Linked DNA regions of Tamandua tetradactyla. The protein of the gene in region 1 purifies or fractionates together with the protein of each later gene. This does not show direct contact. Links are inferred from orthologs where the notes say so. Each region holds a gene or a part of one and is shown in the gene's direction. Other genes may lie near its edges. The genes, in order: RBBP4, KDM5A, ING2 and SINHCAF.

Region 1 (7,572 bases):
CTGACTATGTAATATCAAGCACTAGTTACTTGGAAAATATTAGTTCGCTGAGTTACACAGATAATATTGCCACTTTTCATTAAACAAAATTTAAAAAAACATATTTTGCTAATATTATCACCAATCTCATCAGAAAGTCTTTTAAGTACTGGGAAGCCAACAAGCTCAGGATAGCAGACATGAGTTTTCCAAAATCCTAATTTTCATTTGAGTGCTTGAATTTCATCACTGGCAACAAATACGTCAGTTGTTTTTTTTTTTGAGGACAGATCACATTATCTATTTTCAAGAAAATCTCAGCCAAACACTCGTGGCAGCCAATTCAGCTTACAACTTTATTACATAAGTTTTTTTTCTCAAGGTAACCATCTTACTTCACATATGGGAGAAACATTTTGTAATACTTTTGCTTTCATTAAAAAGATTATTTTAAAAATGTATACTGAAGGGTCAGGATTTAATAAAATTAGTAATTCTTACTGATTCATCAAAGACATTCATAAGTGAAAATGACTTTTTTTTTTAATGGCAAGTATGTGGTGGTAAAGAATACAATGACTACGACTACTTTTGGTCTTGCTGCCTCAGATTGTGCTAAAGTGCCAGAAGTTTAACCTAATACTGTTTTCCCACCACCAATGTATCAAATATCAAAGCAGTGACAAAAACAATTAGCAACTTAGTATTATTGTGAAAATAGTTTTGACATCATTTCTAGGGCCCACAAACCATACTTTGAGAGTTGTTACTACTATAGGAGAAAAAGAGATAAACCTAACCTAGATTAAGGGGTTCAGGTAAGAATTCCTGAAGGAAACAAGATTAAACACTGTAAGTGCCAAGAAACTGAGGACTATCTATATTTGCTTTGCTCTTTTTTTCCTAATTTCTGTTCAGTAACACACTGAATGATAGGTGCTCAGTAATACAGGCTGAATGATAGGTATTCAGTAATATGCGCTGAATGAATACATGAGATCAACTAATCTGAGTCTTAAAGGACAACAGGGCTACAAGGAAACTTTGGAGGTAGATTTAGGGGTGGTCAATAGCAAAAAAAGGAAGCTGCAAGAAAATACAGACTAATCTCACATTACATCAGTGTAAAAATTCTATTAAAAATGTTCACAATAGAATCTAATAGCACATTAAAGTAATAATACACCACAACTAAGTGGGATTTAGTATTCCTGGATTGCAAAGAGGATTCAATTTTAGGAAATCTGTTCATATAATTCAGGTAAATATATGGTCATCTCTATAGATATAATCATGAAACATAATATAAAAATATTAACGGGATTTTTGTGAGACTAAAAAGGTTTTTTTGCACAATTTTAAACTACTACATTTTAAACTTTATTTTTTCTCTCATTCCTAATTGCTGTTTTTACTGAATGTTTTATAATGCATTGGTTATGACCATATAGTAGAATATACATAATTCAGGATGTGCAATGAAAAAAGTTTGGAGACAATTGTCCCAGAGAATCAACTGAAAATTATACTAACCATAAGAGAATTCATAAAGTGCCATTATAAAAATTAATTATAGAACTCAAGAGCTTTCACATATATTATCAACAACCACAGAGATAATATAATGGAAGAAAAGTCATTTACATTAGCAATAAAAAAAATGAAATGCTATGAGGTTATACAGAATAAGATTTGAACAAATGGAAAGACATACCTTATTGCTGGAGAAAAAGACTCAAAGTAAAAGCTTTAATTCTCCCTAAGTTTATTATTAACAAAAAATAATACCCGTAGAAATTTTTTTTTCAAACTCAACAAGCTGATTTTTATCTATATATAAACAAGAAAGAATGGCAAGAAAGGGGCAAGTACTGGGGGAGAAACTGTCCTACAAGATATTAAAAGATAGCATAAATTCCCAATAATTAAACCATGGGCACAAAAAGAGAGAGGATAAAGGATTAGAACGGTAAGTTCTGCAACACAACCAACTACATGTAAGGGAATTCCGTATGTGATAAAGATGTGGCATTTCAATCGCAGGGTAACCAACTGTTGAATAAATGATGTTAGAATATCTGGTGAGTCATCTGGAAAATAATTAAATTGGATACTCACTTTCCACCTTACCTCAATTCTGATCAATTTATGATTTAAATGTTTCTTTAAAAAGCAGTAAGTATTAGAAATAAGAACAATCTATAACAATATAGAAAAATATGAATCTCACAAATACAATGTTGAGCAAAAAAAAAAAATGTACATACTGTGAGTCCATTCACACAAAGCACAATAACAGGCAAAACAAATCTATGGTGTTGGAAGCCAGGCTCATGACAGGTGAGAGTGGTAGTGACTGGAAGGGAGCATGAGGCTTCTGGGATGCTGATAATATTTTGTTAATCAGGTCACTAGTTATACAAGCATATTCAGTTTGTGAAAATTCATTTATGCACATTTTTCTATATGCATACTGTACTTCAATAAAAGTTTTATTTTCACATGTACTAGGAGAAAACATGAGAGAATTATAACCTCTGACTAGGTAAGGTCTCCTACATTGACACCCCAGACGCCATAAAAAGAAAAGATTAATAATTTTACCTACATAAAAATAAATTTCTAAATATAAAAGAGCATCAATGCAATACAAAAATGGGTTAAGAATATGAACATACACTTCCGAGAAGGGAACCACAAATAGTCCCAAACATACTGAAAGATGCTTAACCTCACTTATAATCAGAAAAATGTAGATAGTATGACAAGATACATAACAAATTTTAAAAACCCAAAAAGTATGATAACACCGAAAAGTGGCAAAAGTGTGGGAAAAGAAATACATTCATACATTGCTAGTGAGAGTGTTAACTGTTATAACACCTCTATGGAGAACAGTTTGGCAATAACTATTACAGTTAAAAATACACAGATCCTTTGACAAAGCAACTTGCAGGAAGTTTTTCTACAGATACACTTGTGTATATGCAAAACACGGATGTCCAAATATATTCACTGCTGCACTGCTGGTAACAGAAGAGCAGAAACATCCTGTATACTGAAAACTGGTTTTAAATAAAGTAAATGCTGCGACATCTTTGCACATACACATGAGAAAATGGTAATAATGGTTATTCTAGGCTTATTTTTCACTGCATACCTGTTGAATTCTATATATAACTATTAAAATATGATAAAAGACTTATCCAGAGGACAATGGGAAATCAAGGCAAGATTTTAATCAGGGAAATAAAATGTGCTCCCCAAACTACATTTTCCTCAGAGATGGTAACAGCGTTTGTAGAGGATGTGCACTATGATGGAACTGAGATGCAAAGACAAGCTATGTGATCTGCCTGAAATCTAAGCAAATGAATGATAAAAAAACACGTCTTTTTATTAGCATCACGACCCATATAAAACACCAAATGAGAAGTTCCTGATTTGGCTTTCTCAATTCCTAACATGATAACACTTTATCCTCGTGTTGGAGATACATGCCCACTGTTGGAGATAACTGACATCGACAACCTCGAAACACTAGAAAATACGGTTATCTTTAGAAATAATACACTAGTAAAATCCACAAGATACACATGATTAGTATCTATACATGAAAGTTCAACAGACTAAATGTGCGAGCCCAATTTTCTCGAATCTCAGACTAGGTGGCTCTTTTCTTTAGCGTCACTCCGACAGGTACAAAAGAGACTACAATACACAGAGGAATCAGGTCATGTCTGAAGTACTTTTGGCGAGGGGTGAAAGGCAAGGCCGGAAGCCAGGGGATGCCAGTGAGCCCCTATCTAGAGAGAGGAGAGTCACCTACTTACACTCGTACTTCCGATTGACTGGAGGATACTTGGCCTTGATTGCCTTCTGATCCTCAGTCAAATTGTAGTCTCTCACATCTTCCTCCGGCTCCGCCATGAGTGGAACATTGCGTAGTCTACTTCCGCCCTTCATCCGTCAGACTTCAGCCCTACATTACAACTTCCGCTCTAGAGTTCGTCGCCTGGCACGCACCTTTAAAGGACCAGGACTCCATTTTCGTAGCGTGCGGATGTAGTTTAGCCGCTAAGCCTTCCGTCTTAGGCCCAGCCGCTTGGAATACACTTTTAAATGATCAAGTCCTCATTTCCTGCACTTGATTCATCAGTCCTTTTTTAGGATTAAAGAAACAAACAACTTGAAGGTTCTGGAAATAGGAGGCACCTGAATTAGACACTACCTAAGTCAGAGTGACAGGAGCCGTCCTGCCTCCCCCAAAGGTATCCAGGGTTTCTCAATTGAGTACTTAGAAGGGGTCGCAAGCTTAATTGGCTTGAAGGAAATGGCTGCGCCCAGGGGAGTACAATGCTAAATCTCTGTCACGTGACCCTAGGCGAGGCCAGCCCCACCAACCCCTCCGAGCGCGCAATCGAAGGAAGTCAGCGAGAGCCGAATAGGGGAAGGGGCGGAGCGCGCGCCTCGGCCTCGCGTAAAGCGACTCTGCGCGTCTGGATAGGCTCTGAATGTGGCTCCCCGCCCACTCCACTGTTCGGAACGCCCCGATTGGCCGATGTTGGCGCGAAGGTGCGCAAGTAGGGCCTCACGCAGGGGCAGCAGGAAACAATAGAGGCCGAGCGCGCTGAGCAAGCGCCTCCAGCCTCCCCGCCCCTCCCGCGACGCTCAACTCCGCGAACCCCCTCGCTTGCCTGTCCGCCATGGCCGACAAGGAAGGTGAGGGTGCCAGGGCCGCCCTAGGAGAGCCGAGGGGAGTCATGTCTGTGCCGCGGCCTCGACACGGCCTAACAGCGAGGGCAGGCCCAGTTTTGCAGAATGCGGTTCCCACCGTCGAAAGCGTGAGGAAAACTCCCCACTGAGCGGGCTAACGGCGCGCCAGTAGGAGGGGGTTGCCCGTCGGAGCCGGCTGAAGCTGGCGGTGCTTAGTCCCTCCTCGAGCAGCCCGGCAGCCTCTCTGCGCACCCTATCGGTGTATTCTCTCCCGGGCCTCATTCCGCGGCTCCCTATCCCCAAGGGTCGGTGTTCGGGCCTCCTCGCTGGTACTGTAGATTACGGCGTAGGAGAGCGTGCGAGAGCCAGGGAGCCGTCACACCCAGTGGATAACGGGGTGTTTGGCTGGGGTGAACCCAGGGTAGTTTTCGGCCCCCATCCCGCCAAGGTGTAAAGGAGTGTTAGTGCCACTGCCTAGAGGGGCTTTGGGCAACCCTTTTCCTCCCCCCATTTCAGAATCGACTCAAGTAGCAGTGTGTTCGATTTCCGTTTGTGTTTGCTAACTTCATTTATTTTTAATGCTTTAGCAGCCTTCGATGACGCAGTGGAAGAACGTGTGATCAATGAGGAGTACAAAATATGGAAAAAGAACACTCCTTTTCTTTATGATTTGGTCATGACCCATGCTCTGGAGTGGCCCAGCCTCACTGCACAGTGGCTTCCAGATGTAACCAGGTGATACGAATCTCTTAAACTTTCTTTTGGCGGACCCTCATGAAGTTTTTCACATTGATTTTTTTCCGTATTGTTTTCCCTATTTTCTTCTCTCCGGGTCACTTGATATTTTTTTTTTCTTACGTCAAAGAACTTGGCAAAATGTGAAAATGTTTTGTGACTTACCCAAGAGAAAACTTGATGGCATTGTCTGCCTCTGATACTGAATTGAGTCGCTACATTACAACTATAGATTTATGTACATGTGTGTATTATGTGTATAGCCATGTTAAAGCTATAGTTGTCCAAATGTAAAACTTGTCAGCCTTCAAAAAGGAGTATGTGTCCAGTTCTTTCTGCAGAACTTGCTTGAACTCTTTAACAGTCCCAGTCTCGCAGTAGTAACTGTTGAATATAAAAAATGAGTATGGCATGGTACCTGCCTTCAAGAAGCACACAGACTACTCAAAGAGGCAGACGTAAACTAATAATTATTAGTTATTAGAAAGTTAGAGCAGTTACAATTAAAGGAGGTGAGAGCAGAAAACAACGTGAAGGTGGAATGGTTTTCATGTGAATGGAGTTGGGCATAGTGAGGGTAATAGAGATTAATCATGTTTTCCTGGAAGTGAGTAGCTTAAATCTGCAATAGAGGAGATTAAATATTTAACTTAATGTACATTTATTAAGGATTTAGTAGCTATCGGATATCAGGGGATACCAGATATCAATTTCCCTGCATTGATTTCCTGCATATAAACAGTAAAAATAACTAAAATTACCATAAGAGTAGTAGTGCTGATGAAATGATGAGAAAGGAAAATTTACCTCAACCCAAGAGTATGAAAAAAAGTTTCAGGAAGAAATAGCATCTAAATTCATTCAAACTCTGGTTTAGTAAGTCAAGATTATTGCAAAATATTGTGAGACTGTGATTCAGCTCAGCAGGCATTAAGAATGAAGCTATTTCTTTCATAGTGGCTTGAAGAACAAATGAGGAAATCTGTCCTAAGGATGTTTTCTAAAACCATAATAAATACTTAGAAATTTAACCATGTTTGGCTTATCATCAGAATTACTTAGTGAGTTCAGGATAAATGGATTTGTTTCTGTCAGAAATTCTTAGTGATAGTTGAAACTATTTAGATTCTTGTGGCAGAGTTCCTAAGTGAATGATGATTCCGTATTTACTCATGTGCTAAATTATGTCTATTAGACCAGTGGGTCCCAAATATTAGCCATCCCAGACCTTCTAAATCATCTGGAACACGTTTTTTTGTTTAATAATATGTATCTTTTTTTATTTTTAAATTTAAAAAAATATATAACAATAAACAAACATGAACATTCTTAACATATGACCATTCCGTTCTACGTATATAATCAGTAATTCGCAATATCACAGTTGCGTATTCATCATCATAATCATTTCTTAGAACATTTGCATCAATTCAGAAAAAGAAATAAAAAGACAACAGAAAAAAGTTCATACATACCATATCCCTTACCCCTCCATTTTATTGATCACTAGTATTTCAATCTACTAAATTTATTTTAACATTTATTTTTGTTCCATATGTTTCACTTATCTGTTGATAAGGTAGATAAAAGGAGCATCAGACACAGGGTTTTCACAATCACACAGTCGCATTGTACAAGCTATATCGTTATACAATCATCTTCAACAAACATGGCTACTGGAACACAGCTCTACATTTTCAGGCAGTTTCCTTCAGCTTCTCCATTACATCTTGACTAATAAGGTGATATCTATTTAATGCGTAAGAATAACCTCCAGTATAACTTCTCGACTCTGTTTGAAATCTCTCAGCCATTGACACTTTATTTTGTCTCACTTTGCTCTTCCCCCTGTTGGTCGAGAAGGTTTTCTAAATCCAGCTCATTCTAGGATTTCTGTCCCATGTTGCCAGGAAGGTCCACACCCCTGAAAGTCATGTCCCACATAGACAGGGGGAGGGCGGTGAGTTTGCTTGTTGTGTTGGCTGGAGAGAAGACGCCACATCTGAGCAACAAAAGATGGAACCCATGTTTTAAAACTTCCCAGGTAATGTAGTGATTAACCAGATATAGAAAGCACTGAACTAGACTATATTCCCCAAGGCTGAAATCCTGTGCACTGTCATCTTAGTTTTCTACTTTTGC
Region 2 (7,264 bases), on another chromosome or scaffold:
CTCATAGAGGGCCTATAATAGGATTATAAATATCCTATTATTTATAAAATAACATAAATAAATTATTACTTTATTAATAATTTTAAAGCAAAACCATTATATTTTAATTGAATGCTTAACCAAATGAATTATTTCAGTGTTGTGCCAGTTTGAATGGATGTATGTACTCTAGAAAAGCCATGTTTTAATCCTAATCCCATATTGTAAAGGCAGTCGTTTCTTCTAATCCCTATTCAGTACTGAATGTTTGAAACTATAATTAGATTATCTCCCTGGAGATGTGACTCAATCAAGAGTGGTTGTTAAACTCTACCCATTCCGGGTGGGTCTTGATTAGTTTACTGGAATCCTATAAAAGAGGAAACATTTTGAAGAAAGCAAGAGATTCTAAGAGAGCAGAACAACATAGCCACGAAAAGCAGAGAGTCTACCAGCTAGCAACCTTTGGAGATGAAGGAAAACTCCTCCTGGGGAGCTTCATGAAACAGGAAGCCAGGAGAGAAGCTAACAGATGACACTGTGTTCACCATGTGCCCTTCCAGCCGAGAGAGAAACCCTGATTGTGTTCGTCGTGTGCCTTTCCTCTTGAGAGAGAAACCCTGAACTTCATCGGCCTTCTTGAATCAAGGTATCTTTTCCTGGATACCTTAGATTGGACATTTCTATAGACTTACTTTAATTGGGACATTTTTGTGGCCTTAAAACTGTAAACTTGTAGCTTATTAAATTTCCCTTTTAAAAAGCCATTCTGTTTCTGGTATATTGCACTCCGGCAACTAGCAAACTAGAACAAATGTTTTTATTTAGATTTCAATTATTACTCCTTTTTTTGTGAATAGTATGGCTTTCCAGATGTAAGTAGTAAAAATCTCAGACTTTTATCGTAAATCATTCTAATTGTATGCAATGACTCACACTTCCCTGCATCCATATCCCTTTGCAATGTTATGTTGTTACTCCTCCCATCATGAAATGAAGTCTATTTCACACACACCCTGAATCTAGGATGGCTTTCTAGCTTGTTTTGTTCAACAAAATGCATTGGAAGTGATCGTGTACATCCTGAAATCCAGTCCTTAGGCTTAGGCTTAGGCTTCCATTCTCACCCTCCTGGAACCCTGAAGCCATCATGTTGCGAAAAAGCCCAGTTTAACCATGATGGGTTAATTTCATGTATGCTGGTTTGAAAGGATGTATGCCCCCTAGAAAAGCCATGTTTTAATCAAAATCCCATTTCATAAAGGTAGAATAATTCCTATTCAATACTGTATGTTTGAAACTGTAATCAGATCATTACAATGTTGATGTGTATGTGGATGATGTGATTTAGTCAAGAGTGATTGGTTGTTAAGTTGGATTAGGTGATAACATGTCTCCACCCATTTGGGTGGGTCTTGATTGGTTTACTGGAGTCCTATAAAAGAGGAAATATTTTGGAGAATGGAGATTCAGAGAAAGCAGAGAAGAATGACATAGCCACGAGAAGCAGAGTTCACCAGCCAGCGACCTCTGGAGATGAAGAAGGAAAATGCCTCCCGGGGAGCTTCATGAAACAGTAAGCCAGGAGAGAAAGCTAGCAGATGACTCTGTGCTCGCCATATGCCCTTCCAGATGAGAGAGGAACCCTGACCGTGTTCACCATGTGCCTTTCCAGATGAGAGGGAAACCCTGACTGTGTTTGCCATGTGCCTTCTCACTTAAGAGAGAAACCCTGAACCAAGGTATCTTTCTCTGGAGGCCTTAGATCGGACATCCTATAGATTTGCTTTAATTGGCTCATTTTCTCAGCCTTAGAACTGTAAACTAGCAACTCATTAAATTCCTCTTTTTAAAAGCCATTCTGTTACTAGTATATTGCATTCTGGCAGCTACCAAACTAGAACATCATGTATCACCTTGGCCAGGTTATTCTTTCTAGTTATTTGTCAAACAAGCAGCGGCCTGATTATTACTGGGAGGGTATTGCATGGATTTTAATCATTAGTCAGTCAATTGTCTGTGGATGATTACATCTACAATCAACAAAGGAAACTGCCTTCAGCAATGTGAGAAATCTCCTCATCCAATCAGTTGGAGACCCTAAAGAGAGATCTGAGGATTTTAGCAGTCAGAAATAACTTTTATCTCTATTTCAGCCAGCCCTCCTCTCCTGAGGAATTCAAAATCATCTTCAAGTTCCCAATTTGTGGTCTGTCCAGCAGAATTTAGACTTGCCAATCCCCGTGGTTGGTAATGTGAACCAATTTCCTACAGTAAATCTTAACATTTATATATATAACAAACATACATATGTATACACACACACACACACACACATATACACACACATATATATCCTGTCACTTCTACTTCTCTGGAGAACCCTGACAAATCCACTAATTTGCCAAGTATGAGAAGCTATGTGGAGAACTGGGGCTTCTCAGCCAACAGCCAGCACCATCTGGTAGACATGCAAGTGAGACCATCTCAAACCGTTCAACCCAAGCCATCAGATGATTGTGGCTACATGAGTGATTTCAGATGAGACCAAGAGAACATCAGATTCTGAGGTTGTTTGTTATCCAACAAACAGAAATATTCCCTAAAAGTGTTTGCATATGGGGTTTAGGTTAGTGGGTATGAGTAATTGGGTATTAACTACTGTGGATGCTATAGTTAAACAAAGGAATATTATGTATGTCACATCCTGATACAGTCTCAAACAAAATTTGGCATATGTAAATATAGGATGAGGCAATGAAACACAAGGCAGTTTATTTGGTGAATGTTTTTTATTTATTTAACAAGAATTTATTGCATACCTTCTATGTACCAAGCATCCCCAGGAGCTGGGGATACTTTCCAGAGGAAGTGATATTTCAGCTGATGTATAGGAAGAAGGATACATAGGAATTTAACCAGTAAGAGGATATACATAATTGTTGGAATGGTGTGGGGTCAGGAAAGTACAAAAATGTTCCAGACAGAGGAAATATTACTTGTGAAGGCTCAGAGGTGAGAGTAAGCAGGATGTTTTAAAGCCATCACAAAAATTTATGTGGCATACATGGAGGAGTATAAGCGATGAAGCTAGGAAGAAATACAGAAAGTAGTAAAAGAGTTTGGATATGAAAGTGACAAGATGAATTCTGGGTTTCTAGACAAATTAATCCAGAGTCTGACTGGAGGGGCAAAGAACTGAGCAGTTATCACAGTTTGGGTTAGAGAACTTAAATTAGGATACTGGTAATGAGGACTGATAGACACAGATGGATTTAAAATTTTGGGGTGATACAATCTCCAGTCTTCACACACGATTGTATATAAGGGGAAAAGGAGTATAAGGAGTTAAGGATTATTTCTAGATTTCTGGCTCAAGCAATTGGATGAAATCATTCATAGAACCAGAAACACTGAATGATTTTAAGTGACCCAACTGGAATTGTCCAGTAGGTAGCTGTAAGTATTGGCTTGGAACTGGGTTCAGAAGACTAGGCTGGAAATACAGATTCAGGAGCCTAAATTGGCAATTTAGGTCCGGAGAGTAGCTGAGGCTGCCTGGGGAGTATGTATATCTAAAAAGGGAATCTAGGACGAAAGTTTACCTCCCAGTGTTTACTTAACACTAACGTTTCACAGTTTTCCTTTTAGTCCCTTCTACGTTACTCTCTACAATTTGGAGAAAGTGGGAGATAGACACTGACACACATGTTTCTGACAAGCAATGGTTATGGCTTTCACGGCAAATTGAGAAAGGCTTACGGGGCCAGGGTTGTCAGAAGGAAGTGGTTACTGTTATATGAGATGACTTGGAGCATGACAATTACCGGATAAGCAAGGAAAAGAGCTGCTACGTCTATGTGGGACGAAAAGCAATTCCTGGATGGGAGCTAATGTCCTACTGCAAGACTTGGGGGATAAATTCGACCAGAAGTTGCCATGGAGGAGGGGAATGGCCCAGGAAGATTACTCGAGATACTAGCAGTCAAAAAGACACACACACACAAAAAAAAAAAGAAAGAAAAAAGAAAAAGAGAAGGAGACACGTTGAAAAGGCTAGTAACTTGGTAAAAGGAAGGCAAGTAGGTTAAAACAAGCCGCAAACCACCAGCAACGGGGCGGAGTGAGTGAAGTTAGAACAAGCTCCTTTTCCTGTCCTCTTATACACAAAAGGGAACTGGACCCTCCACACCGGAAGCAGAACCTCTGCCCTCTGAAGCATTACACATTCCTCCGCGCCGGAAGAGCGCGTCCCGCCTCCGCCCCGGCAGCTTTACACCATTTCTACCTCTTCTGGAGGAGTGATCGTGGAACTCTCAAGGGTGGGCCGTCTGGACTCGTCGGACTGCGCAAAACAGTCGCCGGCAAGGAGAGAAGGAGCGACACTGCGCTTCCGGGAAAGGGAGGAAGAAGAAAGGGTCGCATAGCGAGGCGTCGTGGCGGAGGGATTTGATAGTACGTTGACTTCCGGAAAAGTCCTTCCCTTGAGAGGAAAAGCCCCGGAGGAAACAATAACAAACGAGAGGAGGAAGCGAGTCTGGTGTTCCTCTATTGAGCAGTTTTTGTCAGAGAAGATGTGCTTCGGTCCCTGTCAGGGGACGTGAAAGGCTTGGTGGGCTTCAGACAGCCTTTTTCCACCTGTTCGCCCACGGAGCCCTCCTGGGTATTGCCATGGCGGGTGTGGGGCCGGGGGGCTATGCGGCGGAGTTTGTGCCACCCCCGGAATGCCCAGTGTTTGAGCCTAGCTGGGAGGAGTTCACAGACCCACTCAGCTTTATCGGCCGCATCCGGCCTCTGGCCGAGAAAACTGGCATCTGCAAGATCCGACCGCCCAAGGTACTGAAGTCTGTGAGGACTCTTGGTTTAGCTTTATTTTTCCGGTTTTTCTGTCATTACGTATTTATTCACCCTTCTTTTTCAGCAGTTCGAGGCTAAGGTTCTGTATATTATTACCGTGTCTTTTATTTCTGAAGTCGAGATAGTGGTGTGTGTCCCTGGGAGCTTTTCCTTCTAGCGCTTGAAAGCTGATAGTTTTCTCCTTCTTTGGATTGAAGGCATGGGTAACAAAAGGCCTTTCGTTGTCCTACAAGTATGGCCTTCGATGTATTGGGAGTATTAGACTTTAGAAATGTTATGACGTGACATGTACCTCGTGTTCAATCCACATAACGATGCGATTATAAAACTGTTCTTCCTTCTGTTTCTTTATCCAGGTCCTATTACTGTTTAGTTTATTAAATATTCGCAGGCTTCATCTCAGTGTTAGGGTATCTTAATAGGTAATCTGAGCTCTAGTTGTTCCCCAGAAAGAAACGAGAACCCCAGACTGGATTATTGCAGCACTGAAAGTCTTCCCAGGGGTAGAGAAGGAGCAGCATTTATCTTTAAAATTTAGAGGTTTAGGAAGAATTGGTTGTGTCTTGGAGGTGAAAGAAAATGTTGAACTCTCTCGATCCAAGGAACCAAGGATCAAAGATGTACGAGTCGCGTTATTTCTAAATAACCAGATATGTTGTAGGTTTATTACCATCATCGATCTTTAATATAAGTTAAGGAAAACAGATACTACCTCTTTGGGTGAATTAGTGCCCCAAGAGGTTAAGTGATTTGCGCAAGGTCACAAGGTTTATTGGTCGCTTGAGTCATACAGGATCTCAGGTTATCTAGGTATTGTCTTTATCACATTAGACATATGCTTTTCGAATGATATTCTTGGTCCACCTGCACCAGGGTTAACTGGATGCTTGTTAAAATGCAGATTTGTAAGCCTCATTCCCAGACTAGATAGATCAATTTCTGGAATCTGCTTTTCTAGCAAATTACTTTCATATGATTCTTAATGCACATTAAATTTTGTGCACCATTGTCTTGGACAGTGCTTCCAGAAGACACCTTCCTTTATGTTTTGTTTTAGTGGTAGTAAACAAAATATTAGGCACTGTTACTGTGTTGGATTTTAAAAACTTCTCTCTTAGATTGTCATAGAAAATTCATTTGTCCTCACCATAGACTACCACAGCAAATAAAAGGAATTTAGCTGGGAAGCAGGAGGTGGGCAGGGAGGAGAAGCTAATTTAGCCCCTCCTGTTTGGCAAGGGCTTTGTATGTATATATTGTTTCAGTAATCTTCTGTGAAGTTTTAGTAAGTAAATAAAGTCCTCATTTTATAGATGAGGCAAGTCTCCGTAAGTTAAGTCAGTTATTAAGTGTGTGATCATGGGTAAACTGCAAGGTATATTTTTGAACCTAGGTCTGTAAACAGATTCTAAAGACCATGCATGCTATTCCTACTGTGATGAATGAATTGATTAAGATCATAGACTATCAGTTGTAAACAAACAATTAACAGGTAATTACTATGGTGATATGTATCACCATCTTCTAAAAGCTTCAGTAACCCTCATTTTCTGTCAGAATTACCTAATATTGACAAAACCTTCAACATTAAGGTTTTTTTCTAAACTGTATTTTAATCTACTCTGTTGCCTTTATTAATTAGAAATTTTAAATAAAGTTTTAGTAAAATTGAAGACGAAAAAGTTTTAAAGTACTTAATACACATTTGCAAATATGTTTTTACATTTATGTGTAATGTGATATAGCAGTTTACATTCTATATTATGAAAATCTTTAATTAAAAAAAATTTTTTTAAAGAGGTTGAAATAGTATACCTTCTCTTGTGTGTTATATCATTTTTATTGAAATAAATCTTGTTTTACAAGCAGAATTTAATCTTAATATTGGTGGGTTTCTTTAGTTTTCAAGGGAAGATAATTTTTTTGAACTACTACTCAGATTTTTATGTGCCAAGTCAAACTTTATTCTCTAGAACTCCACTTGAAATATGCTATCTCATTTCAGTTATTCCACAGCATCCATCTGGAGATTTTCCTTGTCCTAGTGGGTTTGCAAACTTTTTTTTTTTTTATATTTGGGTTCCAGAAGCTGGGCTTTCATTTAAACAAAGGATTTTTGTAATATAGAATGTAAAGTGCTATGTCACATTACACGTAAGTATAAAAACATATTTCCAAATATATATTAAGTACTTTAAGACTTACTTTTTGTCTTTAATTTTACCTTTTTTAGTTTCTTTCAAATTCTGACTTTTTTTTTTAAATAAAGTTGGATGTTTATTGGTACAGGGGCTCATTGCATTCCACTTGAAATAATTTGGGAAAGCATAATTGTGGGAAATAACAGGACTGGTGAGATTTGAAGAGATATTATTTTTTTGAGTATTATTGAAATTATTTTATCTAAGAAATACAATTCTTTCTGTTT
Region 3 (7,156 bases), on another chromosome or scaffold:
CTGCAGTAATGACATTCCTTTGTTCTTCCTCATGCAAAACATTTTTAAAATTTGTACATTTAGTCACTATCATTATACACTCTAGGCATTCCTACATTATACCATCTCAATCTTTATCGTCTATCTTTCTTTCTAATTTCATTTGTGCCCCCAGCCCTCCTCCCTTTATCATTCTCACATTCAGCTTCATTCAGTGTTTTAACATAATTATATTCCAGTTAGGTAGTATTGTGCTGTCCATTTCTGCGTTTTTACATTCAGTCCTGTTGCACAATCTGTATCTCTTCAGTTCCAATTACCCAATATCTTATCCTATTTCTATCTCCTGATAGTAGGACCATCTTTTGATGCTAGTAGTCATCCTGTAACCTGAAGTAGCAGAATTGACTGAATTGGCTGTATTCACCAACTTTTGTGTTCTCTACCATATAAACTACAAGTATAGGCTGAAATTGCTCAGATTTATACTATCTAGAGAATCTAGCATTTTCTTAACACTGTCCTTTGGTCTTAAATGATTCCTGGAAAGCAAAATAATTGCTAAAACAGATATTAATCTAATTGTAAATTAGATTAGTAGTAAACTGAGAGGCTGAGAAGAGTTTCTCCAGCTTATAGAGATTTTTATATTTTTAAATTTTATTTCTTTTTTCTACAATTTTTTCTACAATTCCTGTGTTGGACTTATGCAATAAAGCAGGTGAGAGAGAAACTCTGACTGTGTTCGCCATTTGCCCTTCCACCTGAGAGAGACACCCTGAACTTCATTGGCCTTCTTGAACCAAGGAATCTTCCTGGATGGCTTAGATTGAACATTTCTATAGACTTGTTTTAATTGGGACATTTTCTCAGCCTTAGAACCGTAAACTAACACCTTATTAAATCCCCCTTTTAGAAGCCATTCCGTTTCTGGTATATAGCATTCTGGCAGCTAGCAAACTAGAATAGAAGGGCACTGCTATCTGCTTCTCTGAATCACATAGTGAATTAACTACCTCTAATTGGTTTAAAAAAAAAACTTCATTAATCAAATGCAACGTGTAGAACTTACTTGAGTCCTGTTCAACGAACTAAGTACAAGAAAATGGGGAACTCTGAATTATCTGAATACTGATACTAAGAAATTGTTTTAGTTGGCATAACGGTATTGTGATATAGTTTTTAAAATCTCATCTCTGTTTATATTTAAAGCATTTAAAGATAATTCTGGCCATATGTTGGTCACTGTTCAAGCTGGATGCCTAGTATATCAGGATTTACTGTACTAATATTTCTACTTTGATGTTTCGAATTTTCCATAATGAAGAGCTTAATAATATTAAAAGGAGAAAAAAAAGAAAAGGATTTCAAATTTAATTGACCTGACTCAAACAAAAGTTGAATTTTCTCAGAACACATCACAGTAAACATTTGGGGAATCTTTCAGAATTACTTGTTAGTTGTTTTCAGTCAGAGTGTGAAGTTGTTGCTCAGGCCTCTCACAGCATAAATAAGAGCTATATTAGATAGCTTTGGAGGCACACTTTCTACCAGGGACAAACATCTCAAAGGTTAGAGTCTTGGAGGCCAAAGGCTGATTTAAGACTGATTCAGAAATTAAAGTTAATCCCCATACACTTCTACTAACCTGGAAGCATTAGATACTTGTCTTTTTAGAGTTGTTTGTGGGGGAAAATACAATGAAGAGTAAGTTGCCTCTTTGCTTTATTCATAGACTATCTTCTATATTGGAGAATTAGGGATTTTTAAATCTTACATTTAGCAGAGGATAAGGAGACCCATTCTAAAAAGACCCCAAATTTCCAGTTAAGTGACTACAAAGCAGAAAAGAGACATTCATAATTAACCAAAGTGAAGTATGGAATTTGGGGAGTATGGTGATTTTTTTATTCTGTGTAACTACTCTCCCACAAAGGCTCCTTTCAAAAGTACAGCAGGAATAAGCTTTTGATTAACCTTTATAAATATAGCAACAAAGGTACATAACTGAAATAACTCATGCACACAAATATACATATATATTACCATACTAGAGTGTGCCTTAGGTTTAGACCAAAACAATTTGAAAAATAATTAATTTTTGCTTCTTATCAAACTGTACAAATGAATTATGAAAGGAGAAAATAATGCCATAAAAGTTCTCCCAATCCATTCTCAACCTTTCCTCTCAATTTGCTCTAGGTTCCTGGAGGGGTTTCCTGCATTATTGCCTTTTCTCATTTCTAGTTTCTAATAACCCTTTGCCACATCTTCCTGTGACCACCTGCCAGAATGAATAAAATCTCATAGATAAATCTGGTATCTAACTAATAAATAACATGGCATCATGCATTATTTGGGAGCCTTCAAGAAATACTAGCTGATGCAAACTTGTGAACAAATAAAAATATTAGGTGAAGGTAAAAAACGGTAAAATTCAATTCCTACCAACAACTGTGTTTTGGCAAGAGGTGGCTGCTTAATTTGAAAGATTAAAGATGACAACAATAAAATCCCAAGACTGTTTCCAGTCACAGTGGAATGCCTGGATGAAAATTGTGGTAATATTCAAGAGGTCAAAACTTCAAAGTATCACAGGATAATAACATAGAACAATCCCTGGGTCCTTTGCAATATTTCAGTTGTTCCCAAAACGTCAAATTCCCTGGCGTGCTCTGTTCTGGTTTGAAATGTAAGTTTTTCTCTAGACTTCTCTTTGCATTTAGGGACTCTAGCATTTCACGGTTACTTAGTATTAATAGCTGTTTCAAAAGTGCTCGAAAGAAGGGAAGACTTCTCACTGGCTGCATATTTACAAATTTTCATATTCAAACTATGTGAACGTAATTCTTATTCTTGGCACTCAATTCAAACTTTAATCTTAGGACTATGTTGTTTGGAACTGAAAGAAAATAATAATAATAATAATAATAAAGTCCTCTAAATAGGTCATAATACAGTTGTACCACTGGCTGCAAACAAACTGGATATAAGATAATCCAAACTTACCACGCACTAATATTTCCTCAAAGGTACTACTCACAATACGGTTTATTTACATAGGCATTCCATTAAAATTCTCCGTGTATTCGTTCTATTTACACCCATTTCTTTAAAAAAAACACGTTGTTATATACACTGAGAGGACATTCGTACTTAAAATTAGCTCTCTTGCTTGGCACTTTACGCAACAGACACTATACAGAAATTAAACCCGAGTATACCTCCTACATAAGGCTGTGAGCATGATTCCGGAATAATGCTTTCATTCCCATCTCCGTCCCCCCCCCCCCCGCCGTGTTTGTTAGTTCTAGGGTAAAAAGAGACGGGAAGGTGGCGGTGTCCCCTCCCACTCCGCCAGTTTGCCCACGCCGACGTTCAAGGCTTAAACATTCTGAACCCGAAAATGGTTTCTTTTTATTTGTTCTCAAAGGTTGTCTGTTAGACAAAAACTTTTCCAGGGCAGACTCAGTCCAGCATCCCTTCCCCCCAAATTTAAATAGTGGGTTTCTGGAAAAGGGAAGGGACAAAACCTGCAAGGCACCTCGAAGCCGGGAAACCTCTAGCGTCTGAGGAAGGGCGGAAGCACGCCCTCTAAGGGAGATTTAAAAATCGCGCGGACGTAAAGAAAACGCAGGGGGCCGAGGGGGGCACCGCCTACCTCCCTGCTAGCCCGGGTTGCTCCTTGAGCCCGAGGGCCACGGAGGGAGGAAGAGGGAACCGTGAGGTAACCGCTGAGGCAACCGCTGAGGCGGCAGCACCGCGACTGGCAACCGAGCGGCGGGCTACGGCGACGGCGGCGGCTGAGGCACAGCCACAGCGCATGCCGGGAGCCGCACCCCGCTGCACGCTGGGTCGCGTAGTTCCCACAGGCCTCACTCCAGGGCGTAGCGAAAAGCGACCGCCTGCTGTTCCTTATAAGGCTCCAGAGGGGCAGCGCTAGATCCACCTAATGGCAAGAAAGTCGGTAGCACCGAGTCGAATGAGTTGGGCCAAGTTTCCCTCTTCCTGTGGGAAGGACAGAAGAAAGAAGTCAGCCACTTTCCCTTTCAGGTTCCATTCAGACATTGGGCGAAGAGCCGGGCTTGACAGTGCTTCCCCTTTAAGAGGGGGCGGGGCGCAGCTTGCCGTTTGGCCGTCCTCCGCACCCTCCCCCCAAGCCTAGAGTTGACAGACCAATCGCCCGAGTGGCGGAGGGAAGGCGGGAGAATGCGAACCCTTCGGTAGGGCGGTAGGGGCGGACCCCGGCCTTATTAGGAGTGAGTCCTGCGCAGGCGCAGAGGCGGCCGCAGGAGGAGGGGCGGGAGCAGTCCAGTGAGAGACTCTCCGACAGGCACGGAGGGTGATTGGGAGAAAAGGGGGCAGCGAGAGGCTTGTCATGGGGATCCGAGCTACGAGGCGGCATCGGTAGCATCTGGAGACTCGGAGGGAAACAGGAAGTGTCAACGCCTGGGACCCCGGCGCCAGCTCCGCTGGGGGGATCCCCGCTGCTCCAGTCCTGGGGAGGGAGGGGTGAAAGGAGGAGGCACTGACCTCGCCCCGCCCCTGGATTTGTTACCGCGGGGGCGGGGAGTGAGGGCTTCTCTTTGGGGGAGTGAAGATCGGGGGACTCGGCTGTGCCCTCCTGAGTGGCTGCCGGTGTCCCCGCGGTGCCGGGCTGCTGAGCACAGGAGCCGCGGCGTCCGTGGCTGTTGCAAGTGTGGTTGCTGGATGCGGAGGCGGCGGCGGCGGCGGCGGCGAGGAGCAGCAGCGGCGGCAGGATGTTAGGGCAGCAGCAGCAACTGTACTCGTCCGCCGCGCTTCTGACCGGGGAGCGGAGCCGGCTCCTCACCTGCTACGTGCAGGACTACCTCGAGTGTGTGGAGTCGCTGCCTCACGACATGCAGAGGAACGTGTCTGTTCTGCGAGAGCTGGATAACAAATATCAAGGTAGGGAATCACGGGGCTGCTCGTGGGGGTCCTCCCCCGCCAACCGGGATCCGCTGGCCTCCGCGAGCGAGCTCTTGGAGGCTGCCCACTTTTCCCTTCTCTTGTGACAGTCTCCTCGAGTGCACAGATGGAGTCTGGTGTATGGGACGGGGGAGAGGGACTGGAGACCGTGTTCGTGGCCCTCCCTTCCCCCGCTGCGATCGGCAAGGTCTTCTGTGGGGTCTCTAGGCGGGGGGCTGCCGCTTGTCAGCACCCACTGCACACCCAGCGGCTGCAGCTGCTGTGGAAGGGAATCAGCCATTTTAAGCAGCAAGCATTTGTCCTGACGCTTGTTCGCCCCGTGCCGCAGACCCGCCTGCCCCGCGAGGGAGTCTAGGCAGAGGCGGCCAGTCGCCGCCGGGCTCCCGCTGGTCTCCGGGGCCTGGCTTTCCCCACCCTCCTCGGGCCCCCACCCCCTGAGAGCAGATGCATTGGAACGTGCGGGGGGGGAGGGGGCGAGAGAGGGCCGTGAAGGCGGACTCCAGTGAGGTCCCTCCCGCCGCTCTTTGGCTCCCGGCTCCGGGTTTGAGGAGTCGCTCCCTTCTCCCCGTCCCTGAGAAAGTTCCGGGCCGCAGCCTTTTCCTAGCTCCTACGGACGAGTGGTTAAAAGGGGAGGGGTCCCCCGTGGGGAAAGGAAGAGGGGTGTGTGTGTGTGGCGAGGAGGGCCCCCAGTCCCTGGAGGCGGGGCTTGGGCGTGACGTAGGTGTGGGAGGGGCGCGGACGCGCGCGTTCCCGCCGGCCTCGAAAATGGCTGGTTGTGGGAGGGTTGGGAGAGAGCTGCTGTTAGGGAGGGGGTCGGGGCAATGTGGGACATTAGTTCAGCCCTAGCAGTCAATGTTGGTGTTATTTTTCGATTCTTCTTTCCAACTACTGAATCACAGCGGGGGCACAATCAACTGCTGCGACCGTAGCTAGCCCTGGCCACCGCGTTGATTCTGGGCCTTGCGTCACTTCCGGGCCCAGGAGGAAGCGGGTTGGTTGACTGGGCAACCGCCTGGCGTCCCTTCACCCCTGGGTGTCTCCTGCGCTAAGTTTATGGGATGAGACGAAAACCGCCCTTTGTGGTCGACACAAGAAGCTAGGACCAGAGAATTAGACTTTCTCACTCAGAGTATCGTTTTTTCTTCCACTATTGGTTGATATTTTTGCCTGCTCCTAGGAGGGAAGCAGTTTAAAAGGGGAGTCGTTATGCACTTAATTTAACCCTGAATCAAGTAACAGGCAGTGGACATTATGTGGAAACAGCCATAACGACTTTCAGCATAACGTATTGCATGCTTTCTGTGTTTTTCTAGACACATCACTAATCCTATGATTTAGTCTCTAAGCGTCACGCCTCTACGGTGACATTTCCTGGCTTGTGGCATGTTAGAACATTCAGGTGTCTCCATGTTTTATTTCTGCCTTCTGAGCCCATGTTGTCGCTAGGACTAGTCTTTGTTAGTGGGGAAAGGAATTAATACTGACCGTTTAAAATCTGCCAGTCACCGCCCCAAGTCCAGAACATCTCATTTATCGTTGCAATGACTCTATGAAGAAAAATGGAAGTTTTCTCGTTTTACATTTGATAAAACTAACAAGATGTTTAAGTAACCTGCCCAGGTAATTAGGTGGGGAATATTTGACCCCAGAACCTGCTCCTTCAGGTGTGTCTTTGTTTTTTAAGCTATTTAAACTTTTTTTCACTCTTTATATAAAAGCATTCGAAGGGCTACAAGCATGGAACATATACAGGATTGGTAGCCTGAAAATAGTAGCTTAAAAACATATGTATTTAAGAATTGTGTATTGAACATTTTTAGTTTTTCCAATAATAATAAGCCTGTAGTTTGTTAAGCTTGCAGATTTTTACATTTCTTTAAAGGTACATGTTTGTCTTCATAAAAGTTGTTTTCTGTTCATTTGAAGTTGGGAAGGATACTATAATTCACTAACACGAAATGGGCATTCTTGACCATCTAAAATTATCATATGTATCTCTGGTAACATAAAAAATTGTAGTAGACCTTGCAAGATTGACAGATTATAATAATCGTCAACTCCGTTGAAATTGTTCATGCAAGTGACTAATTTCAAGATTAATGTAAAAACAACAATCCAATTTTTACTCCATGTACATGCTTACTAAGCTCATCTTTCACAGTTTTGTTTACTAAAGTTGTGTACTTTTGTGCTCTTTGTTCATATTACAAATGTTTTTTTTTTCTTC
Region 4 (7,678 bases), on another chromosome or scaffold:
TGAACTTACTCAAGTTTGTCAATGTATCTCTTAAAATTATTTTCATTACTGTTAATTTTGTCTTTTTAAACTATGCTATTTAAATGTCATAAGATAGTAGCATAAAATATAAAACCTCTGTAAATTCAGAGGTAACTCTTTTAAGAATGAGCTTGTGACAATTCTTTAAGTCTTTAAGTTCAGAAATTTGAAAAGTAGTTTTGATTCAGTAATATATACCCTGTTTTCCTGGCAGCTGTCAACGGTTGTTGGAGGATTGGGGTCTCTTAGATTGCATAACCAATTACGTACCTTATAGTGTAAAGTTATCTGATTTGCTCTGACCACTTATTAGAATTTCAAAAGGATTTAAACAAAGAGGTAACAAAATATTGTACTTGTTTTGCTGTGAGAAAAAGAGCTCTTGGTTTAGTCTTATAGCTAGTACCTTTTAAGGAATGAAACCCAATGATTAATAATAACAAACAGGATATCAGACTTCATTTTAAAAGCAATCATTATTAAATACATCACTAAATTGCTGATATTATCCCTCATTACTAAATAAGAATTGTGCTTTTCAGACTTTCATATAATTTTTCCGCCATTTCAAGGATATTATAATAATTGTAAAGTTGCTGGCAGCAATTAAACTCTCAAAAGAAGGCGGTAAATTCTATGGGAAAAAAACAACATACAAGTAGAATTACACAGAAAGAAATTAGAAGAAGTGTGGTGGCTTGAGCTTCTCTAGGGCAAAAGGGTTTCACTGTCATTAAATTTTTACTAAATGAATGGAAATATTCAAGCATTAGAAGTAATTCTACAGTGGGACAATATGTAATAAGCAAGGTAGCTGGTGTGGTTAGAGTATGTGGCTACACAGCTATATTTTCAATTTCAATGTCTTTGAGAACTCATTATGAATTCACAAAGCACTACTTTCATTTAAAAAATACTCAGATATTTTTCTAGCATGGTGAAATTCAATTTATTATAATCCAGTTTATTTACATGGTATAAATTACTTTTCTTTCCATTTTTTTTAAATAACGAAAATTCACTTGGGCTATTTATATAATAGTATTTTTAAGTAACCTATAAATGAACTATTGGCTCTGGATAGGGCCAGCCATAACAGCATGTTCAAGCAACAAAATGAACAAAAGAACCTTTGGAATGCACCTGGTTGTTCAAAAATAGCAGGTGGTTGTTAGAGAAAAAAAAAGATTCTAAAGAATCCAGATTTCTCTTTGAGCTTTGTTTCTGACTTTCATACAAAAATTACCTGAAATACTGCTTGACCTCTTTGAGAGCAGAGGAAGTCTTGCTGTGTGAAATTAGTCCAGTAGTTCAGAACGTCCAGATATTTCTTATCTGAACAGGAATACTACAATTCCTGCAATGCATGCACATTTTGAACCTATTCCATCCTTGGATTACCATATATATTCTTTATATAAATTTCCAAGAGAAAAAGCATTCTAGCTATACTTTTGTTTTTTTCAATTATACATTTTACTTTGGAATCACAAGGCTGTTACTCTAATAGGTCAATTTCTTATAAACATTACAAGTACAGAAAATACCAAATATACACAGACTTCATTGTAATATTCACAAAAATAAAAAAAATGTGAACTCCCTTAAATTAGACAGTTATCTTCCCTCTTAACTGAGATTACCTATGTCCAGAGATTTGTCTTCTGACTGATGTCCAGATTCTTCTCAGAAACCTTGATGTGACGCACACATCTGCAGTTGCTATATCAGCGATGTGGTGACTCCAAGGATTTGAGTTTTATGTTACTTAATTCTTTGGTGTATTCAGAGATGACTACTAGCTCTAATCATGACAATCACTTGTTTGATTTTACATTTCTTTATCTTCTAAGTTTTAAAGAAATATTTCCCTTCTAACCTTAAATAATTTTTCTAAGATATAAAATGTCTTTATATGAAGTTAATGGAAGCTTAGAATCTTCATCTTTCATATTCTTAGTACCTCACATATATAGAAATATCTGATTGATATTGGATACTTCTCATTCTAGCTACACTTTTATATTTATTGTAAGCAGTAACTGAAGTTTAACAATATGATGATGCTTACAATTTTCACATCTTGAAAGGCATATAATAATTTTAAAATATTTTTGGAGGATCTATTATAAACAAATAAATATTTGAGACAACTCAGGACAACTTTCTAAATTCTCTGAAAAACAACATAGAGATTCAAGTTTGGGATTCAATTTGCACCAATGAAAGCCCATAAAGACTTATTAAGGCTATTCAGGATTATGTATTATAAGGACAGGAATGGCGTCATATGAATCAAGGTGATCACCATATTCTCCAATTTCATTATAGGTCAAATACAAAATTATAAACTAAAGTAAAGCTGTTTTAACTTGAAATAGATTTACAATAAATTTAAACCACTGATGTATTATTTGTCAAACAATTATTCAGAATCTGTTATCTACTGTACACTGTTTTAGGCACTTAAAAGTATAAGATATGAAATCCCTGCCTTTAAGGAGTTCACATTTTAGAAAGAGATGCCATCCCCCTTCACGGATATTTAAAAAAGTAGTTTTCATATACAGCCATAGGAATAGCCTGCTACAGAACTTTTTAAAAAAAAAAGCATTAGTTGAAGACTTCAGAAGTCCGCATTGTAAGAATGTACTAGGAACTGGCTGTTGAATTAAATTAGATTTTCAGATGCTTTGTATCTATTTAAATCCACTGTTGACATTAGAGTGAAAACAGAGAAATTTGTCAGCAGATAATTAAGTTTTTTGGCTGTTTTCACACTTTTGTAGCTTGTGGATCTGGGAAAAACATCCTTATCTCTCTTCAACCTCCCTCCATTATCAAACCAAACTGTCTGCCTGCTGGTGCTAGGTATGTCCTCGGGATAAAGGTGTATCGCAACCTTTATTTAAATTTTTTTTCACTTGTCAATTTGAGAAATGCTACTTTTATTTCCCTGAGGCTAGAACTGTTTAGAGTGTTGGTTTATTATAAATTCCACAAGGAAAAGTCCCGCACTTTCTTCGCCACTTTTTCAATTCCCAAGACCAGGTTAGTGGTACTATTTCTGGGTGAGTGGAATACTCTATAAGTAGCTGGAGGAGATATATATGCATGTCCCTAGACTACTGACTAGTCTTTTGAGAAAGGGCACTGTTCCCATGGAAATTAACAACCATTCAGTTAGGACTGGTTTGAAATCTTAAGGCCGAAGTGTTGGGAAAAAAGTTGGATCATGATGGGTAGGGTACTATTTGAGTAGGGCGAGTGAAGTTAAGTGAACGTATAGGGTGTCAAAATAGGACTTTGTTAAACGACTGATTAAAATTGCAGGTACAGTAACATCTGCTGGCCCCGAAGAATTTATTTTTAAGCTACAAAAACTCAAGTTTCAATAAAATTTAGGAGACGGGGAAGAAGAATAAATTCAGTCCGAGTGCTTAACCTCCCCTCATCTCAGGCGAGAAACTGGGTACAGGTGTGAAAATTTGGTAAAAACAGCTTTCGAAAATTTTTTCAACGCGAAATGGTGTGCCTTACGAACTTCAGGGTGGAAAGCATCTCACGCAATCGAATCTACTCCCTTGGTTGCTAACCTTTCCGCCTTTCCCATCCCGGCACTCACTCTCGGCCGCCGCCTCCAGCCAGGGGGCGTTTGTTTATGTGACGTCCGCCGTAGTAAGCAGTCCCCGCCCCCGCTTCCCTCTGGCCGCCGCGTTTCCCGCGCCGCGGCGCTTCTCCCCTTAAAAGGACAATAGAGGCCTCGGGAGCGCGCGCGGCCGCCAGGCCTTTTCCCCTCCCCAGCCCTCGACGCGCTCGTGCCCGCATGCAAATAAGTTCGATTCAAGAGAATCTTGCACCGGGAGCCGCGCGTGCGCAGAGGGAAAGCGGAATCTACACCTTCCCGACCAGCGGTAGCAACTGCAGAACTGCAGGAGACAATCTTTCTAGACAAGGCAGTTGAGGAGGAGGGACTGATCGGAGGGGGGCTGGCCTGGTGTGCACTCCGCACCTCGGGAACGTTATTGCGCGTGGAACGGCTGCTTTTGGAAGGTGAGTGATTCTAAGCATCACTCTGGTGCAAAACTGCTTCATGAGGCTTTGATTTCAGGTTTTTTCTTTTCACCTCACTCACCTCCCTGGTCGTTTCCCTCACCCCCCCCCCCCAACAGGAAGTTTTGTCTTGGAGATGATATTGCTGGAGCGCTGTTTTCGTGTTCTTCAGACGCCACATTCTTTTGTATACACATGTTTAGTTTGTATTTTTAATTTGGGGGATGGGGTATTTGAAGCAGACCGAAAGTCTTGGGGTGGGGGAAGTGAGTGGAGCTTGAAAATAATTGAGGAGTTGCTGGAGTTGAGGGATCCACGCTGAAGGTGACAATGACTTTTCTCAGCTGCAGTGTTCTCTGGCTAAAAGGAACCCCGTGGCTGAAAGGCCCAAGAGAAAAGCGACTTGCTGGCAATTGCCGAGCGACCCTGGGTCCGTGCATCCGCGTGGGCGCGAGCCCCGGTCACGGCCGGACGCCGTTGTTAAATGTTAAACCTCATGGTTCAGTTTATTACAGCCCCTCACGCGTGTTTTGTTTAAGATGGACAGTAAATGCCATTCGCTCGAAAACTAAGTTGTTATCGACTTTACAGCTGGCGGCCCTGAGGGGGTTTAAATCGGCCTTTTTGGGAAAGTGCTGGGATTTGCCCGAGTGCACGCGGCGTGGCGTTGTTTGCTCAACTCCGGAGGGATGCGGATGCGACAATGAGAGCAACACGCGGCCGCTTAAAACAGCCCCAGCTCCCCACGCCTGCCTCCGCGGACCGCGCCCATGGAGCTTTGGTGTCCGAGGCTTCTTTGGAGCCTGAAGTTTTATTAAACCTATTTATTCACCTGTAGCGTCGATGTGGGCGCTATGGTGAGGGTTTTCTAGGGCCACCATCTGCGGTTTAAGATGGCCAGTTGCAGCGAAGTTGACTTGGGGATGGAGGCAGTGGCGTTGTCCGCGCGGAAGGAGTGAGTGAACTCCGAAGGGCATCGCTTTTTTGTATTAAACATGACAGACCACGTGCCGCGACCCGCGTTTTAGGCGGAGGTCTGGCTGAAGGTCCAGCTTCCTGGTAGCCTTGAGATGCAGTCGCTGTCGGGTAGGTCCGATCGGCAAGACAATGTAATTTGCTGGTGATGGCGTCTTGCCAGTTTAAAAAGCAGAGTGAAAGTCGCCAACTATCCGCTTGAGCGGGGAGGGTAATTCGGGCTTTCTTATCAAGGACATTGGAAAAACTTGAATTGAATCGGCCCGCTTCCGAGAAGGACCGGAGGACAGGACTCCTGGCTCTCGGGGTTCGGCGTCCGGACCCTTCCTCTCGGTGATCGCCAAGTGCCTTGCCCCTGAGGAACAATCCGACATCCCCGATGCTGCACGTAGGCAGCGCCCGGCTGGACAGAAAACAAAGGGCTGCATGTGCCCGTGCGAGCCCCGCCGGGACTGAGGGCCGCCCGGCTCGGGGCCCACCCAAGTTCTTGCGAGTTTCGGAGAGGGGTTGGCTTTTGTCCCTCAGCCCCTCGTGGGGAAACTTTGGCTGCGCTACTTGTATGAGGTGCCATGCTGGTGCGCGGGGAGGCGGCGTGCTAACCCGTTCTGAGCGGGCGGGTGGGCGAGGCAGACGGGCGCCTCCGGCGCTTCCTCCCCCGCCCCAGCGCTGGGGGCCGCAGCGGCCGAGAGAGCGTGGCCGGAGTTCTCGGCCCCGTTACCCTTGGGCCGGGAGCCTGCGTCTGGGAGGTCTGTGGATTCGCCTTTGAAGTCGAACTGTTGCCATGTTTGAATTACGTCAGGGCAAAGCCATGAGGAGGAACAAGCCCCGGCAGCGCGGCGTGCGGGAGTCGCGGCCTGCGGGAGGCGCCGGGCCCAGGGGGCGGGCGGGCGGGCGCGCGCGAGGGCCCCGTTGTTCCGGCGCAGGTGAGGGAGGAGGGGAGGACGCGGTTCACCTCCCGCTGCCCTCGCTCTGGCGAGCGGCCCTCGAGAGGAACTTTCTTCTCGACACAAGATGTTTTATTTACCAACAAATTCACCAGGGAGCGTTTGTCTTTGCTGGCTTGGTGTCCCCAGGCCGTCCCCGCCTGTCGGAGGGGGAAAGAACAGTTTGGGGGGGGGACCCGAGGGTCTTGAGAAGACGGGGGAGGAGGCGCTTTGCTGCTTTCGGGGAAACCCGCGAGCACCTCCCCAGCCCCGCCGAGATGTAGCTCGCAAGTCGTGGGGACCCAGTCCCGACGGCACCCGAAAACCACCGTGGGGAAGTTTCGGGGCTCCCGCTGTCGCTAAGAAGGGGAAGTGAGGACTGTGGCCGAATTGTGCGTGCCGTTGTTGTCTTTGTGTGTTTGCGTGTGGGAGGGGGAAGCGGGAGGGGGAAGGATTCTTTTGGTTGGGGGGTTTTTGGTTTCACTTGGGGTGGTAGGGCGGAGCAGTTTGTTCTGGTAACTATGACCCCAGTCGGTTTCTTTGTTTTTATTTTCTCCCTCTGCCGTCTAACCTTCGATTACTCCAGTACTCGATGATTAGGAATTACGACTAAACCAAACGTGGACCCTGTCCAAGGCCGCTGTATTTACCCCGCCCCCCCAACGCTGTCCTAAAGAAGGTTAAGAAAACGCGATTTCCCCCCTTTTTTTAATAATTAAAAAAATCAATATGACCTCGTCATTAAAAGTACACTGAAAGCACCTGTTTTTGCCAGACTTTTGGCAAATCCTTCTGTTAATTTATGTTGCAAAATTGAACATTTGGTTGCCCCGTGTAAATTAAAGACTGAAATTTGGTTCTGGTGAATTTCGAGAAAAACCTCATGGCATTTAAAGAATTTGTATAATGATTCCGGGAAGGGGGATCTTTGCCCTAAAGATATGTCCGACTCAATGTTTAGGCATTATTCGCTGCATTATTTTAGGATGACCTTGAAGAAATGATCACGTAGGGGCTTGGAAGCTGCTTCTGGGGACGACACGGGGTAATGGCTAGCTAACTGTGGTAACTTCTTAGTTCCTGTGAACTGGAGTTGACCCTCTGGTTACCCCTCCTAACTTTTCAAGCTAACTTTTTTTTTGGTATGTAGCCCTAGGCATAGCTCAAAAATTATGCTGGTTTGACACATGGATGCTTTTTTGGTATTTGGGGTTTGCTTGCAGTCTAGACATCCAATAAGCAGCATCGTATTTGCTGTTTCTTTCCTGATTTACTCTTTATTTGAATTATGGTTAAAGATTGAAATCTAAAAGTGGCCATTACTAGAAAATAATGTAGCTCTCCTTAAATGCCGTATACCCCAACACTAAAACACAATCCATACAAGTTGAAATCCATTTTGTGCCTTTTCATGGTTGTCTTAGTAAATAGACACATCTCCCAAGTTTTGGTTGCCCCAGTTAACAAATACCAAAAGGCAACTAATATTAGCACTTACATTTCTGAAGTGGTTAGAAAGAGAACGTGTCAGGAAAATTGAAAACTTTGGATTTTGATAATTTTCTGGCTTTCTTTTGGGCATAGTTATTTCTCCGAGTCATGTATTTAAAATGCTTAAAAAACACCAAACGTAAAATGCTTATCAGGTACTTTACAAATAAAGTACACTGAAAAAATTTGACTCAATTTTATTAGTATTATAGGTG

The links.
Region 2: the proteins of RBBP4 (region 1) and KDM5A purify together in Homo sapiens (co-immunoprecipitation; 3 studies listed by BioGRID and IntAct, with this or other methods). This does not show direct contact. The link is inferred for Tamandua tetradactyla from reciprocal best matches to the Homo sapiens genes RBBP4 and KDM5A.
Region 3: the proteins of RBBP4 (region 1) and ING2 purify together in Homo sapiens (affinity purification with mass spectrometry; 3 studies listed by BioGRID and IntAct, with this or other methods). This does not show direct contact. The link is inferred for Tamandua tetradactyla from reciprocal best matches to the Homo sapiens genes RBBP4 and ING2.
Region 4: the proteins of RBBP4 (region 1) and SINHCAF purify together in Homo sapiens (affinity purification with mass spectrometry; 3 studies listed by BioGRID and IntAct, counting the BioPlex papers as one, with this or other methods). This does not show direct contact. The link is inferred for Tamandua tetradactyla from reciprocal best matches to the Homo sapiens genes RBBP4 and SINHCAF.

The regions. Positions count from the first base shown.
Region 1 is NC_135328.1:193,217,534-193,225,105, reverse strand, and holds the start of RBBP4 (histone-binding protein RBBP4), read left to right. Parts: upstream 1-4,551; 5' UTR 4,552-4,685; coding exon 4,686-4,701; intron 4,702-5,282; coding exon 5,283-5,430; intron 5,431-7,572. Other genes in the region: ZBTB8OS (protein archease), read right to left, coding at 3,813-3,945. UniProt on the Homo sapiens protein: Core histone-binding subunit that may target chromatin assembly factors, chromatin remodeling factors and histone deacetylases to their histone substrates in a manner that is regulated by nucleosomal DNA.
Region 2 is NC_135333.1:64,212,062-64,219,325, forward strand, and holds the start of KDM5A (lysine-specific demethylase 5A), read left to right. Parts: upstream 1-4,222; 5' UTR 4,223-4,650; coding exon 4,651-4,815; intron 4,816-7,264. UniProt on the Homo sapiens protein: Histone demethylase that specifically demethylates 'Lys-4' of histone H3, thereby playing a central role in histone code. Does not demethylate histone H3 'Lys-9', H3 'Lys-27', H3 'Lys-36', H3 'Lys-79' or H4 'Lys-20'.
Region 3 is NC_135352.1:29,357,264-29,364,419, reverse strand, and holds the start of ING2 (inhibitor of growth protein 2), read left to right. Parts: upstream 1-4,129; 5' UTR 4,130-4,196; coding exon of another isoform or gene 4,197-4,393; 5' UTR 4,394-4,739; coding exon 4,740-4,908; intron 4,909-5,751; exon of another isoform or gene 5,752-6,593; intron 6,594-7,156. Other genes in the region: uncharacterized protein LOC143669889, read right to left, coding at 3,855-3,987, 4,197-4,393. UniProt on the Homo sapiens protein: Seems to be involved in p53/TP53 activation and p53/TP53-dependent apoptotic pathways, probably by enhancing acetylation of p53/TP53. Component of a mSin3A-like corepressor complex, which is probably involved in deacetylation of nucleosomal histones.
Region 4 is NC_135333.1:94,268,126-94,275,803, reverse strand, and holds the start of SINHCAF (SIN3-HDAC complex-associated factor), read left to right. Parts: upstream 1-4,600; 5' UTR 4,601-5,144; coding exon 5,145-5,160; intron 5,161-5,686; exon of another isoform or gene 5,687-5,795; intron 5,796-7,678. UniProt on the Homo sapiens protein: Subunit of the Sin3 deacetylase complex (Sin3/HDAC), this subunit is important for the repression of genes encoding components of the TGF-beta signaling pathway.